3 linked regions of the Cricetulus griseus genome follow. The protein of the gene in region 2 interacts with the protein of the main gene of each other region in a pairwise test. Links are inferred from orthologs where the notes say so. Each region holds a gene or a part of one and is shown on either strand. Other genes may lie near its edges.

Region 1 (3,935 bases), on a different chromosome or scaffold from region 2:
CTGCTTCTAAGAGCATCTTACAAGGTCTTGGCTGAATCTGCTCACTGCTCATCTTTCATGTTTGTGTCTTGTCCCATGTATCTTGGGAGTCCAAAACTCTGTTGATCCCAAAGTAGGCTCTGAACAAGACAGGTCAAGTGTAAGTCTCAGTCCAAGGACTTCTGGGCATGAGAGCATGAGTATATAGGCTAGGGTGCCTGGGATGTCCCCTCCCACAGAAAAACCACTTTAATCTCTAAACTGGAAATTTTAAAAAGTGCCCATCAAGACATTTACTGTCAACCAAATCTCATTTCCAGAGCTCTTAGCTTCCATACCCATCATGGGCCCACAGGACCTCTCAGCCCCCTCCCCAGGCACTTCTTACACCATTACTCAGCTCTCCTTGGCCCAACTCCCTGTTGGACACTGTGCCCAGCATCCATTTCCTGAGCCTTCTCTATGCCAAGCCCCTTGCTCTGCTCTGGATTGCATTAGCTAGTCTGCCCTCAATCCCAGGAGACAGAGACCCCAAGAACTCCCACTTTAGAGGGAGGAAGTAGAGGCTGAGGACCAGAGCAATGGGGTGGGGCTTCCCAAATGCTCAACTTCATGGCATCAGGAAACTATCAGCCATAGGACAAGCCTTGCCATACAGGGTACAGAGGAAGCCCCTCCGCCAGTGTGGTGTTCACCAGTTGTGGCCTGGCTCTGCTCCATATCCCTGCCCACTGTGGGGACCAACATGGGTGGGGAGAAGTCCATGGAAGGATATGGTTTTCACTGTCAGTAAGCATGCCCCTGGGAGCAGGGAGAGGCTTCAGAACTGTTTCCTGGAGCCTCAATAGAGAATATCCCCAGGGATGTGTTGGGACTCTACCCCAGCTGCCTGGGAAACAATCAGCCTCACCCAGCCCCAGCTCTCCAGGGAGCCTAAAGGGCTACCAGCTTGATCAGGTAGGTGGGCCAAAAAAGAAATCCCTGTAGGTTCCTAACAGCCCACATCTGGGGCTCAAGGGCCAGCAGAGTGTGCATTTAACTCCTTGCATGGCTCAGAGAAGACAAACAAGCTACCCAGCCAAGACCGCAGGACATGCCCGGACAGAGCAAGCTTAACCCCATCACCTGTGCTGTTCCCTGGGGTCATTGTGACTGACAACCAGGGTCTCCTCAGCAGACCACACAGCAAAGTCCCAGCTGAGTTCAGTCAGTCTCCGCTCATCTCCAACATCTTCTGCCCCCCTACCCCACCCTGACCCACCCATGGATCTTCAGCAGTCCAAGATAGAAAACAGGTGTCCCCTACACTCACTCTAGGGTCTATCTTACAAGTTTGCCCTCCCTGCTTCAACTTTAGAGACAGACTGTTCCTCATAACCTCATTTCTTCATGGGAAAGAGGAGGATGGAGGGAACAGCAGTCTGTGCACTGCAGGGGGGAGGGTGGCAACACTGTCTAGAGGAGTGGCCAGCACTGCCCACTCAAGTCCCTGCAGGCAGGTCCGTTAGATTCTACCACTCCTCATTCTCAAACTAGTCAGGAAATGGAAACAAGAACACACCACCAATGGTCACTCCCCAGCGGTGAAGACAGTCAGGACCAAGGGACCCCTGGAGACCCTCTCTATACCCAAGTTTCCATTCCAAGATGACCAAATTGGTGTGCACCTCTTTTCAAAGTGGAGAGCCCAGCTCAGACCCTATCTAGCTGAAAAGATCTCAAGCTCCCCCCCCCCCCCACCCCCGGTTTGTACACACCCCATCCAGATCTTTGCACTACCTTGGCCTGCACCAACTATGAACTGCACACCCACTTCCTCCCAAAAGCCTCCACAGAACCTTAGGGCCAGGCCAGGGCTGTAATCTGTGCGGGAGACGACAGACTAGGAGGAGGGGCAGCTGGGGGGTGGGCAGGAACTGGGGCATGCTGCGCAGAAGCACGCGGGCCACCCTGTCCTTCTCTAGGCCCGGAGCTCGAGCCTCCCAGGGTGGCAAATACCAAGCTGGAGGGTAAGCAAGGGTGGAGTAATAGTGGGGTGGACGTCTCCAAGGCAAGTACCCAGTGTGCCCCCACCACTTCGAGGCCGCCCATCTAGGGGCGGTGGCTACGATGAGCTCATGGGGGCGGGGCGCCAAGATCCCGCCCTTCTCAAGCCCCCTCAGTGTTCGCGAAGCAGGATGGTCCCCAAAACAGCGTTCACGAGGGTGCTTATACCCCCTCCACAGCTGAAGGTTCCAGGTTACGTGGCTCTAGCCCGCAGACCCTTGCACCGGTCCCCAGCACTCATAGGCGACAGGCCAGCGATTCCCTGATTCCCCGACCCCAGAAGACCCTCGAGCAGAGGCCCGGAAGCTCAGCTCTTGGCCATAACCCCGTTGGCGAGGGACGCCAGGCCCCCCGGCCGGCGCACGGAGCCCACAGGTGGCGCCGCAACTTCACCGCCGCGCTGCGCCCTCAGTTGGGCCTAGCGTACTGGCCGCGGAGGGTTCGTCCCGTCCCCAGTTCCCAGTGGCTGCTCACCCAGAAGATGAAATTGAAAACGAAGAGCAGGTATTTGATGCATTTGGTGCAGCCCTCCACCCCCATGGCGGCGCGCGGCCTGCGGAGCTTGGGCTTGTCCTGGAGCGAGCGGGCTGGGTACGCAGGACTGGGTCCGGGATTGGCAGGTGGCCAGGGGCGCTGGCGGGCCGGGGAACTGGGGTGTCGAGAGCGAGATGCGGGGTAGAGAAGGGCTGGAGGCCTAACAGGAAGCGCGAGAGTCGCTACCGCTCAGAAGCAGGGGCGCGCTCGCTTGGACCGGGTGCGCGCCGAGCTCCGCACTCTTTATAGACCGCTAGGTCCCGCCCCTCCGAGGCCCCGCCCCGAGGACGCTCCGCCCCAGGCCCCGCCTCCCGCCTGCGGGTGTGCCTGGACAAGGGGTGCTTGGGTGCTGCCACCTCAGTCCCAGGGTAACCGTTGGGGAACTCAGTACAAATGGTTCTCACGGTCTGCTTGAGCTGTGTGTGCGCAGGATGTCCCCAAGCTTTCTGAGGGCTCACAACTCCCCGGGGCAGGCTGCTGGGTCTCTGCCGAGGACTGGCCACAGGATACCCCTTCCCAAAGAACCCCGTGGTACTTCCTCCCTTACTCGGGCGCCTTGGACACCTCCCCAGTGGAGGTGTCGCGACAGGAAAAGATCTTAAAAGTTAGCATGCTTTGTGTCTATATCTCTTAGGCAGCAACTTGGATGCATCTGAAGGTCTAGAATGGAATTCTATGTCGCCTGGCTAATCCCATGTCCCACAGATAGAATCCCTGGCTGTAATTCTGGAAACTGCCTTTAGGAAGTTCACTAGTGTACCCAGTGTCCCTAGCCAATCTTGTGGCTGAAGCACCCTCAGGGGCACCTTCAAATACTATATTCATGCTATCCTGGCTTGGCATCCTTTGGATGGCTCCCTGAAACTTAGAAAGTGAGGAAAGATTGGGGGGGGCTCCCTTCCCACTTGAGGAATGTCTGCTGTCACCATAGATGATATTCCAGTACCAAAAAGTTGTACTGAGATAAATTTTTGGTACCCCCTCCCCAAACTGGAGGACAGCCTGGCTGTTTTATGAGGAGGGACTCACTGGGGCCAGTTTCCAAGTTTTTCCAGTTCACTCCCTGTTCTTAAAACTTTGAGTAGTTAAGGATATGTTCCCAACAGGGCTCACCCCTGGCACCCCTCTGGCTACAGGGGAGTGGAAGTTTGTTTACAAAGGAATATGTATATTCATTTTAAGACAGGTTTTTGCTAAGTAGTCCTGGCTGTCTGGGAACTCACAGAACTCTGCCTGCCTCTGCTTTCCCAGGTGCTGTGATTATAGGTGTGGGCCACCATGCCCAGTAGTCTAAAGAACTAAAATTTGAATTGTGTATGATTTACATGAACACCTGATGGCTGGCCAGTAGCTTCCTGGGTGGGGCTACTCTTCTG
Region 2 (3,500 bases):
CATCAGGCAAGCACATCCCCCAGGCAGCAGTTACGATAGGACTGGACACAGATATTCAATGAATGTTGGCCTTCATTACCTTATGAGGTATCTTTGCTGGGCTGGGCAAATGGTTCAGTAAAGTGCTCGTCATGCAACATGAGAACCTCAGTTAAGTCCCACAGAATTCACCATAGCATCCATGTAAGAAGTAGGGCATGATAGCATGTGCCTGTGATTTCAGTGCTGGGAACACTGACTGGCAGATCCCCAGGGTTCACAAACAAGGCGGTCAACCCTCAGTTGACCTCCAGTCTCTACATGGAGGACTGTACTTGTGGACCCACACCTGTGCATACACACACACACACACACACACACACACACACACACACACACACACACAGAGTCAGTCAGTCAGTCAGTCTTTCCCCCCCTTTTGGACACTGGGACTCCTTGCCACTAGAATGTTTGTCCTCACTATCTCCCACAGAGTCTGTGCATGGGAACTGGGATAGAGCCACAGGCATGGGCACCCTGGCCCTCGGGATGGCTAGTGAATCTCCCACCAGGCCATACTTTTCCCAGTGTAGTCTCCCCTGCAGGCAATGGTGGGCTGAACAAGGTCTGAGGGGCCAGCCTCACTGTGGTCTTGAGCACTGCTACCTGTGAACCTTAAAAGAGTCAGGAAGAGCTAGCTGAGTTCTCTCTCTCTCTCTCTCTCTCTCTCTCTCTCTCTCTCTCTCTCTCTCTCCACACACACACACACACACACACACACACACACACACACACACACACACAATCACACCAGGCAATGACATTCCCTGGGTATCTCCTTCCTGTCCTCCCTCTGCGAGGTCAGAAGGGTCTCATTTCTGTCTTAATTTTTACCCCACCCCTGCCTGCAAAAGCATCAGACTTAAGACACCCCAGGTAGTTCTGAACTTGCCACTGCTGACTATCCAACCACCATTAAAGGGTGGTCCACCCTCCAGGGGGCTTGAGGATATTCTGGGCTGCAGGAACTGGGTCTCAGAGGAAAGGAGGCCATGTCCTATCTTGCCCCAGAGCCCTGGGAACAGAGAAGGAGACACTCACCACTGCTGGCCCAGGGCAGGTACCAGGGACAGCTGACATTTACAAAGGAACCTGGGGGTCCATCTGGCCAGCAGGCATAGTCGTCAAAGGTTCGGTTGCAAAAGAGACCTGTAGAGGCAGTAGAGCAGTCTGAGTCCCAGGCTGTCATTTATTCTTCCTTCCCATGTCCTCCCCAACCAGTGGAAGCTGCACTCTGCTCCCCAACCTCTGCAGAGTGATCACTGGACACTGAGCACTCTCCCCACAGGGATCACTACACACTGAGCACTCTCCCCACAGGGATCACTACACTCTGAGCACTCTCCCCACAGGGATCACTACACACTGAGCACTCTCTCACAGGGATCACTGGACACTGAGGACTCTCCCACAGGGATCACTGAACACTGAGCGCTCTCTCATGGGGATCACTGGAAATGAGCATTCTCCCCACAGGGATCACTGGAAATGAGCATTCTCCCCACATGGATCACTGGAGGTGAGCATTATCCCCACAGGGATCACTACACACTGAGCACTCCCCCACAGGGATCACTGGGCACTACTCTCACACAGGGATCACTGGACACTGAGCATTCTCACACAGGGATCACTGGACATTGAGCACACTCCCCACAGGGCAGGGACCAAGGAAGGACCCTATTACTCATCAGGGTCAGAAATTTAAGCGAGTTCTTTAACAGCTCTTTGTCCTCCTGTGTGGAATGCAGGCATGCCCTGTTCCACGGAGCTTTGTTACATGTTGTGTTACATGTTGTGAAGAAGGAATATAAAAAGGGCTCAACAGATATCACCTATAAGCCATTTTTGAGCTGTTCTTCACAGACAGGAGGGAAATGCTGGCTCATGAGGCTGAGAAACCCTTCCCCAGATCACTGTGATGATCAAAGACAGGATTTGAACCCAAGCCCAGCTGACTCCAATGCTGTGACCTTTAAACCATCCTATAAACTCCCTAAAAGGTTTACTCCTGCTGGTTCAGTTGGGAGAATGCTTGCCTAGCATGCCTAAGGCCCTGGGTCTGGTCCTCAACCCTGCATAAGCCAGGTGTGGTGGTATACAGGCATGGAATGCCAGTGCTTGGGAGGTAGAGGCAGGGGGATCAGAAGTCCAAAATCATCCATGGCTACATAGTGAGTTGGAAGGCAGCCTGAGCTACATGAGATCTTGTCTCAAAACATAAAGATTGGTTTGTATAAATGCTTCCATTGGGCCTTCAATCTAAACACAGTTAAGGAGAGCTGAGAAGAACACAGAATGGAAAGTGGGGTGCCTGCTCTAGAGGTAAAGACACTAAGAAAATAGTACCCACAAAGCTGCCTGTTGGAAAACTGGTGGGAAGGGGTCAGGAAGGCACCGCATTAAAGACACAGTGTGGTCACCAGGACAGAGGCCCAGGCAGGCAGCATTCCAGAGAGACAAGGGGTACCAACTATGGCCCCGATCTCAAAGCCTCCCCAGAGCTCTGTGAAGTACAGGCCTGAGGGCTCATGGGACTCACCTGTGGCCAGAGGCGGTGTTTCAGTGAGGAACCGCTGGCACTGGCGTCTATATTCTCGCCATTTCTGCACTGTCTCCGAGAGGGACACGGTGGCGCCCTAAGAGGGAAAGCAGAAATGGAGGCTCCCTGGCTACAGCAGCCCCTTCATCCCCACTCGCGTCCTCCCATCCTCTTGGTTTCTTAATCTCCAGGGGACCAAAGCTTACCAGGAATTTCTGAAAGGGGAGAAAGCAAGTGACTGCCACTTTGGGGATCCAGGCAGGACCTTTTTTGTGGTTATCCCGCCCAGGGGACCATGCAAGGCTGATGTATAGTAAGTATCCAGCAAGTGTCTAGAGGATTAGTGCTTAAGGAGTTGGGGTGAAGGAGAGTGTTAAGGAGACTATATGACTCATCCATGGTCCCATCTGCCCTTCATCTACCCTGAGCAAGGAGACACTTCCTGAAGGAGAAGGCTGCATCACAGCCTGGGGCTCCTCCCCGCCTGCTGTCTGGTCATGTAGGAGTTGTCATGCTTCCGACCATTCTAGGAGAGTCAGAAGACTCCATCAAAGGCACACAGCATTTCAGGAAGCAGAGCTAAGGTTGGCACACAGTCATCCAGCTCAGTGACTAACCTGCAGCACCCCGGGGATGCAGGACACCCGAGGATGCAGGACATGGCCACACTGAGGGCATATAAGAGCCAGAATTATCACTCACTCCTCCTGTCAGACTCAACTGCTGCCCTAGGAGGACCACAGACACCCCCCCCCATGCCCCAGTGTCTCTTCTAACACAATGCAGATCTGATATTCAGCCTGGCTTCTAAGCCTCAAGAGGATAAGAGGTGAGGAGGGCAGGGTGAAGACAGAAAGGTCCAGAACACTGAAGTTGTGCCTGCACTGGGAGGTGGCCTCCCACCTGTGACAGAGGGCTG
Region 3 (4,076 bases), on a different chromosome or scaffold from region 2:
GAAGGAGGAGAGGCAGTAGGAGGGAGGGGGAGAGAGGAAGGTAGGCAAGGGGAAGGAAGTTGGCCTTCGACCTTTGTCCCAGAGGGGGAAGATGGGGATAGGGGTGTGGAAAGGGAAGGTTGGCCACTGAATGGACCTTGTGGCAGTGTGGGAGGGGGAGAAGACAGGGTTCGAGGGAGGGGTTGAGATGCCAGAGACTCAGATGGCACCATCAGGGTGGAGTGGTCACGGTCCAAGTCCCCAGATAAATTGGATAAATTTTGTAGTAGACACTCTGGAACTGAATAACGGCTTCGTTTAGACCAACAGCTGCCCATTTCCAAGCCTGTGCCAGAGACTAGAGCAATGCATCCACCGAAGACGGTCTTTTCTCCTAAACGGATTGGTGTTGCCCGGCGCAAAGATCCCGTCTGCCAGAGAGGAAGATAAAAAGAAGAGTGGCCTCCCACGTGGCTGGTGAACCTGGTCTGTCCAGCACCGAAGGCTCAGTTCCTTCCGGGGCTTCTGGCACCAATTTGACAGGTTTCTCCTCCAACACAGTAAGCCAGATCGAGCTGAATTAAAAAGTAAAGGACCAAGTTTATTTGGACAAAGCATTCCCAGGTGATCCTCCAGTCCCCAGAGATGAGGTGGGAGAAGGGGGCAGGAGAAAAATCACATGGCCAGTCTAAAGGAAGGGACTTAAATGTCCTGTAGGCACAGGGGTGGTGACGAGTCCTCCACAAGCTGTGTTTGTGCCTAAGTATGGCAGCTTTTAGGCGGGGTCTTAAGTAACTAGCAACTGCTAGGGTAGGAGCCACCACCGCCACCGCAGACCTGGACTTTTTTGGCGGGTTTTTCTGAAAGGGCAGGGTCTGGAGAGGGAGGATTGCCACTGCTGGATCAAGCACGGGTGAGCTGCAGATTGCAGCTGAACACACACAGAGAGAAGCTAGAGGACAGGGGGAGAACGCCGAGACTCTCAGAGGACTAAGGCTTAGACCTGCCCCCGGTACCTGAGAAGATGGAAGCAGGGGAGAGTTACACGCGGGTGACCTGGATTAGGACACCACCTTGGTGCCGGAACCTTGAAGCACAGAGCTGGAGTTTCCCCGTGGAACTCTTTCAGCAATGGGAAACCACGGTACCTACAGCCTTCTCGGCAACAAACAGCCGCCACGCGTTTGTACCACTTCCGGGGCGGGAACGGAAGTTCCCCTCTTGCCCAATAGAGAGGAGGCGGGGAGGACATTCTCGCGAGAGCTCGGCAAGCCGGCCCTCAGGGAGCTAGCTAGCCATGGAGGGTGAGCGGGCGCCGCTTCTTAGTTCGCGGCGGGCGGCGGCGGCGGCGGCGGCGGCGGCGGCACCCGGGGTGTTTGCGGGGCGGCGCGCGGCGTGTGGGGCGGTGCTGTTGGCCGAGCTGCTGGAGCGCGCCGCCTTTTACGGCGTCACGGCCAACTTGGTGCTGTTCCTGAATGGCGCGCCGTTCAACTGGGAGGGCGCGCAGGCCAGCCAGGCGCTGTTGCTCTTCATGGGCCTCACCTACCTGGGCTCTCCCTTCGGGGGATGGCTCGCCGACGCGCTGCTCGGCCGGGCGCGCGCCATCCTGCTCAGCCTGGCGCTCTACTTGCTGGGCATGCTCGCCTTCCCGCTGCTGGCCGCGCCCCGCTCGCGCGCCGCGCTCTGCGGGGACCCGAGCCCCGAGCTCGTCCGCAATTGCTCGGCGCCCTTCCCCAACGGAACGGCGGTGTGTCCCTATGCCGCCGCGCGCCGCTGCGCTCCCGCCACCTTCGTGGGGCTCGTGCTCGTGGGACTCGGTGTGGCCACGGTCAAGGCTAACATCACGCCCTTCGGCGCGGACCAGGTGAGCCGGGCCGTCCCTGTCCTCCCGGTTTAGCGCCACGCCTACCTGAGCCTATACCTGACTTTGCACCAAGTGCCCTACGCTGAGGACACGGGGACCGACCGCCCCGGTACTCTGCGTACCTGCGAGTGCCCCAGTGTTCTCCACCGATGGAAAGAACGAGCCACCCCACGTACCTAAACCTACACCCCCACTTGATTGCGCGACTGATGGGAAAGTAGGGAGCTGTCCACTAAGCGCCCCAAACCCTTCACCCTCACCTCGCATCTAGAGAAAGATAAAGGCTGTGTGGAGGGAAGACTTCTTGGCTTCTCTGCACTTCTCTTGTAGTGCAGAGAAGGTCACCTGCCTTTGATACCTACTTAATGGAGGAAGGAGACTTGTCCTGAAGGGACTTCCTTGCAGAGTGGGGAGGAAATCCATCTGCCCCAGTGGGCAGGGGGAGAGGAGAGCAAGGCTCCTTCTAATCCAGGTGGGGAGGAAACCCATGAATACCCATTCCACACCTCGAAAGAGGCTCTTGACTGGTAAAGAGGGAGCCTGTATCCACATCTGCCCTTGCATTTGGTCAGGGACTGAAGGAGGGGAGGGAACCACACCCATCCTTTGCTCTGGGGGAACTTGGCCTTTAGTGTGGGTGGAAGCCCTTGAGTAGACAGGAGAAAGCTGTAAAAACAGGTGTGATCTGGGTGGTAGGAAGGGCTTCACCTAACGAGGTGATTATGTGTGATGTGATGGCCAGGGCAGTTTTAAAGTGAAGGGACTTTTCAAATGGTGAGGTCATTTGAGTTGAGATCTGAAGGAAAAAAGGTTTAAGTTAGAGATTTGGAGGACAGACACGTACAGAGGGCTGTCACTGTACTAGTTTTCCATTTACAAACTTATGGGCAAGCACTTAGTTTTGGTCTTTATTGTTTTAAATAAGTTTTGGAGTGGCCTGGGTAGGAAAGTTCAATGTCATGCTGCTGCTCTGACCACCAAGACGAAGACAGAGGAGGAGCCAGAGCTTTGGAGAGCAGAAGTGATCTGCTAGCGCCTGACTGCCTCATCTGCTCAGCTTCCCCTTTTAGGGCTCTCACAGGCTAAGAATGGATCTAGTGGTCAAATGCAAATAAAGTATTTTGTAAGCAGTGGAAATTATGTGGGGCTTGAGTGGCAGGCTCTGTGGATAAAGCTTTTTAAGGTCCTGCTCTTTCCTGCTTACTCATCCCCTCTGCTTCTCCTAGACTTGTAGAATTGAGTAGTCACAGAGGCCAGATAGATGTCTCCTAAAACCTAACACACGTTGTTCCTTTGCAGAAAGATTGCAGGTGGCTGCCTTAGAGAGTGGGTTGTGTGGCAGGTGCATGATAGCATAGCTCTGGCTGCAGCTGGTCTAATGAGAGAGGTGTGGTCTAGAGTGGAGACAGTCTCCTAGTAAAGGGATGGACTCAGACATGGGAGGAGGGCGGTAGGGCTAGGTAGGGTAGGGAGTGCCAGATAGAGGGTTGTTTGTGAGCTGCAGGAAAGGTGAGCTCTGGGTGTCAGCACTAAACTGATCCTTCAGGGCCTGAAATTTAAGTCACCAAGGTGAAATCATTTGCTCAGAGAGTAGCACCATGAATATAGAACTGGGCCATGTTCAGAAGTCTTGTTTACATGGTTCTAAGGTTGACCAATTCAGTGAGGACACATCTCACCTATATTAGAAGTAGTAGTAATCTTAGTGCTTAAGATTTTGAGGCAGGAAGGATTGCCACAAGTTTAAAGCTAGCTCAGACAGTATGGTTCTAGGCTATTATGGGCTGCGGAGCACGACTCATAAAAGTAAAATATAAACAAAAGTAGTTGCTACTTTAGAATTATGAAAGGTGCTTCTCACACAGGGGCAGTTTCAAGCCCAGACTCATGGCCTTGGCCTCTGTCCCACTAGTGCACCTTGAAGACACAGGGTCAAAAGCACATTAGCTCTGTCCTTTAAGTCTAGGTGTGGTGAAATGGCCCTCATAAGTCTTATACATTTTGATACTTGGTCATCAGTTGGTGACTGGGGAGGATTTGGTGTGACTCTGCTGGAGGAAGTATGTTACTGGGGTGTGGGTTTTGTTTGAGATTGGAGCTGCTGCTCTAGCCAGCATGTCTGCTGCCATAATGAACTCTTATCTGGAACTTTAAGCCCAAAATAAACCCTTCCTTGTATAAATTGCCTTCAACGTGGTGTTTATCACAGAAACAGGAAAGTAAGCAGCAAACT

What was found.
Region 1: the proteins of Glp1r (region 2) and Cd81 interact in a protein complementation assay, tested with the Homo sapiens proteins (2 studies listed by BioGRID). The link is inferred for Cricetulus griseus from reciprocal best matches to the Homo sapiens genes GLP1R and CD81.
Region 3: the proteins of Glp1r (region 2) and Slc15a4 interact in a protein complementation assay, tested with the Homo sapiens proteins (2 studies listed by BioGRID). The link is inferred for Cricetulus griseus from reciprocal best matches to the Homo sapiens genes GLP1R and SLC15A4.

What each region holds. Positions count from the first base shown.
Region 1 is NC_048596.1:58,334,413-58,338,347, forward strand, and holds the start of Cd81 (CD81 antigen), read right to left. Parts: upstream 2,801-3,935; 5' UTR 2,566-2,800; coding exon 2,500-2,565; intron 1-2,499. UniProt on the Homo sapiens protein: Structural component of specialized membrane microdomains known as tetraspanin-enriched microdomains (TERMs), which act as platforms for receptor clustering and signaling.
Region 2 is NW_023276806.1:259,293,847-259,297,346, reverse strand, and holds part of Glp1r (glucagon-like peptide 1 receptor), read right to left. Parts: intron 2,679-3,500; coding exon 2,582-2,678; intron 1,189-2,581; coding exon 1,081-1,188; intron 1-1,080.
Region 3 is NC_048597.1:107,118,004-107,122,079, reverse strand, and holds the start of Slc15a4 (solute carrier family 15 member 4), read left to right. Parts: upstream 1-1,276; coding exon 1,277-1,843; intron 1,844-4,076. Other genes in the region: uncharacterized protein LOC107979701, read right to left, coding at 1-317. UniProt on the Homo sapiens protein: Proton-coupled amino-acid transporter that mediates the transmembrane transport of L-histidine and some di- and tripeptides from inside the lysosome to the cytosol, and plays a key role in innate immune response.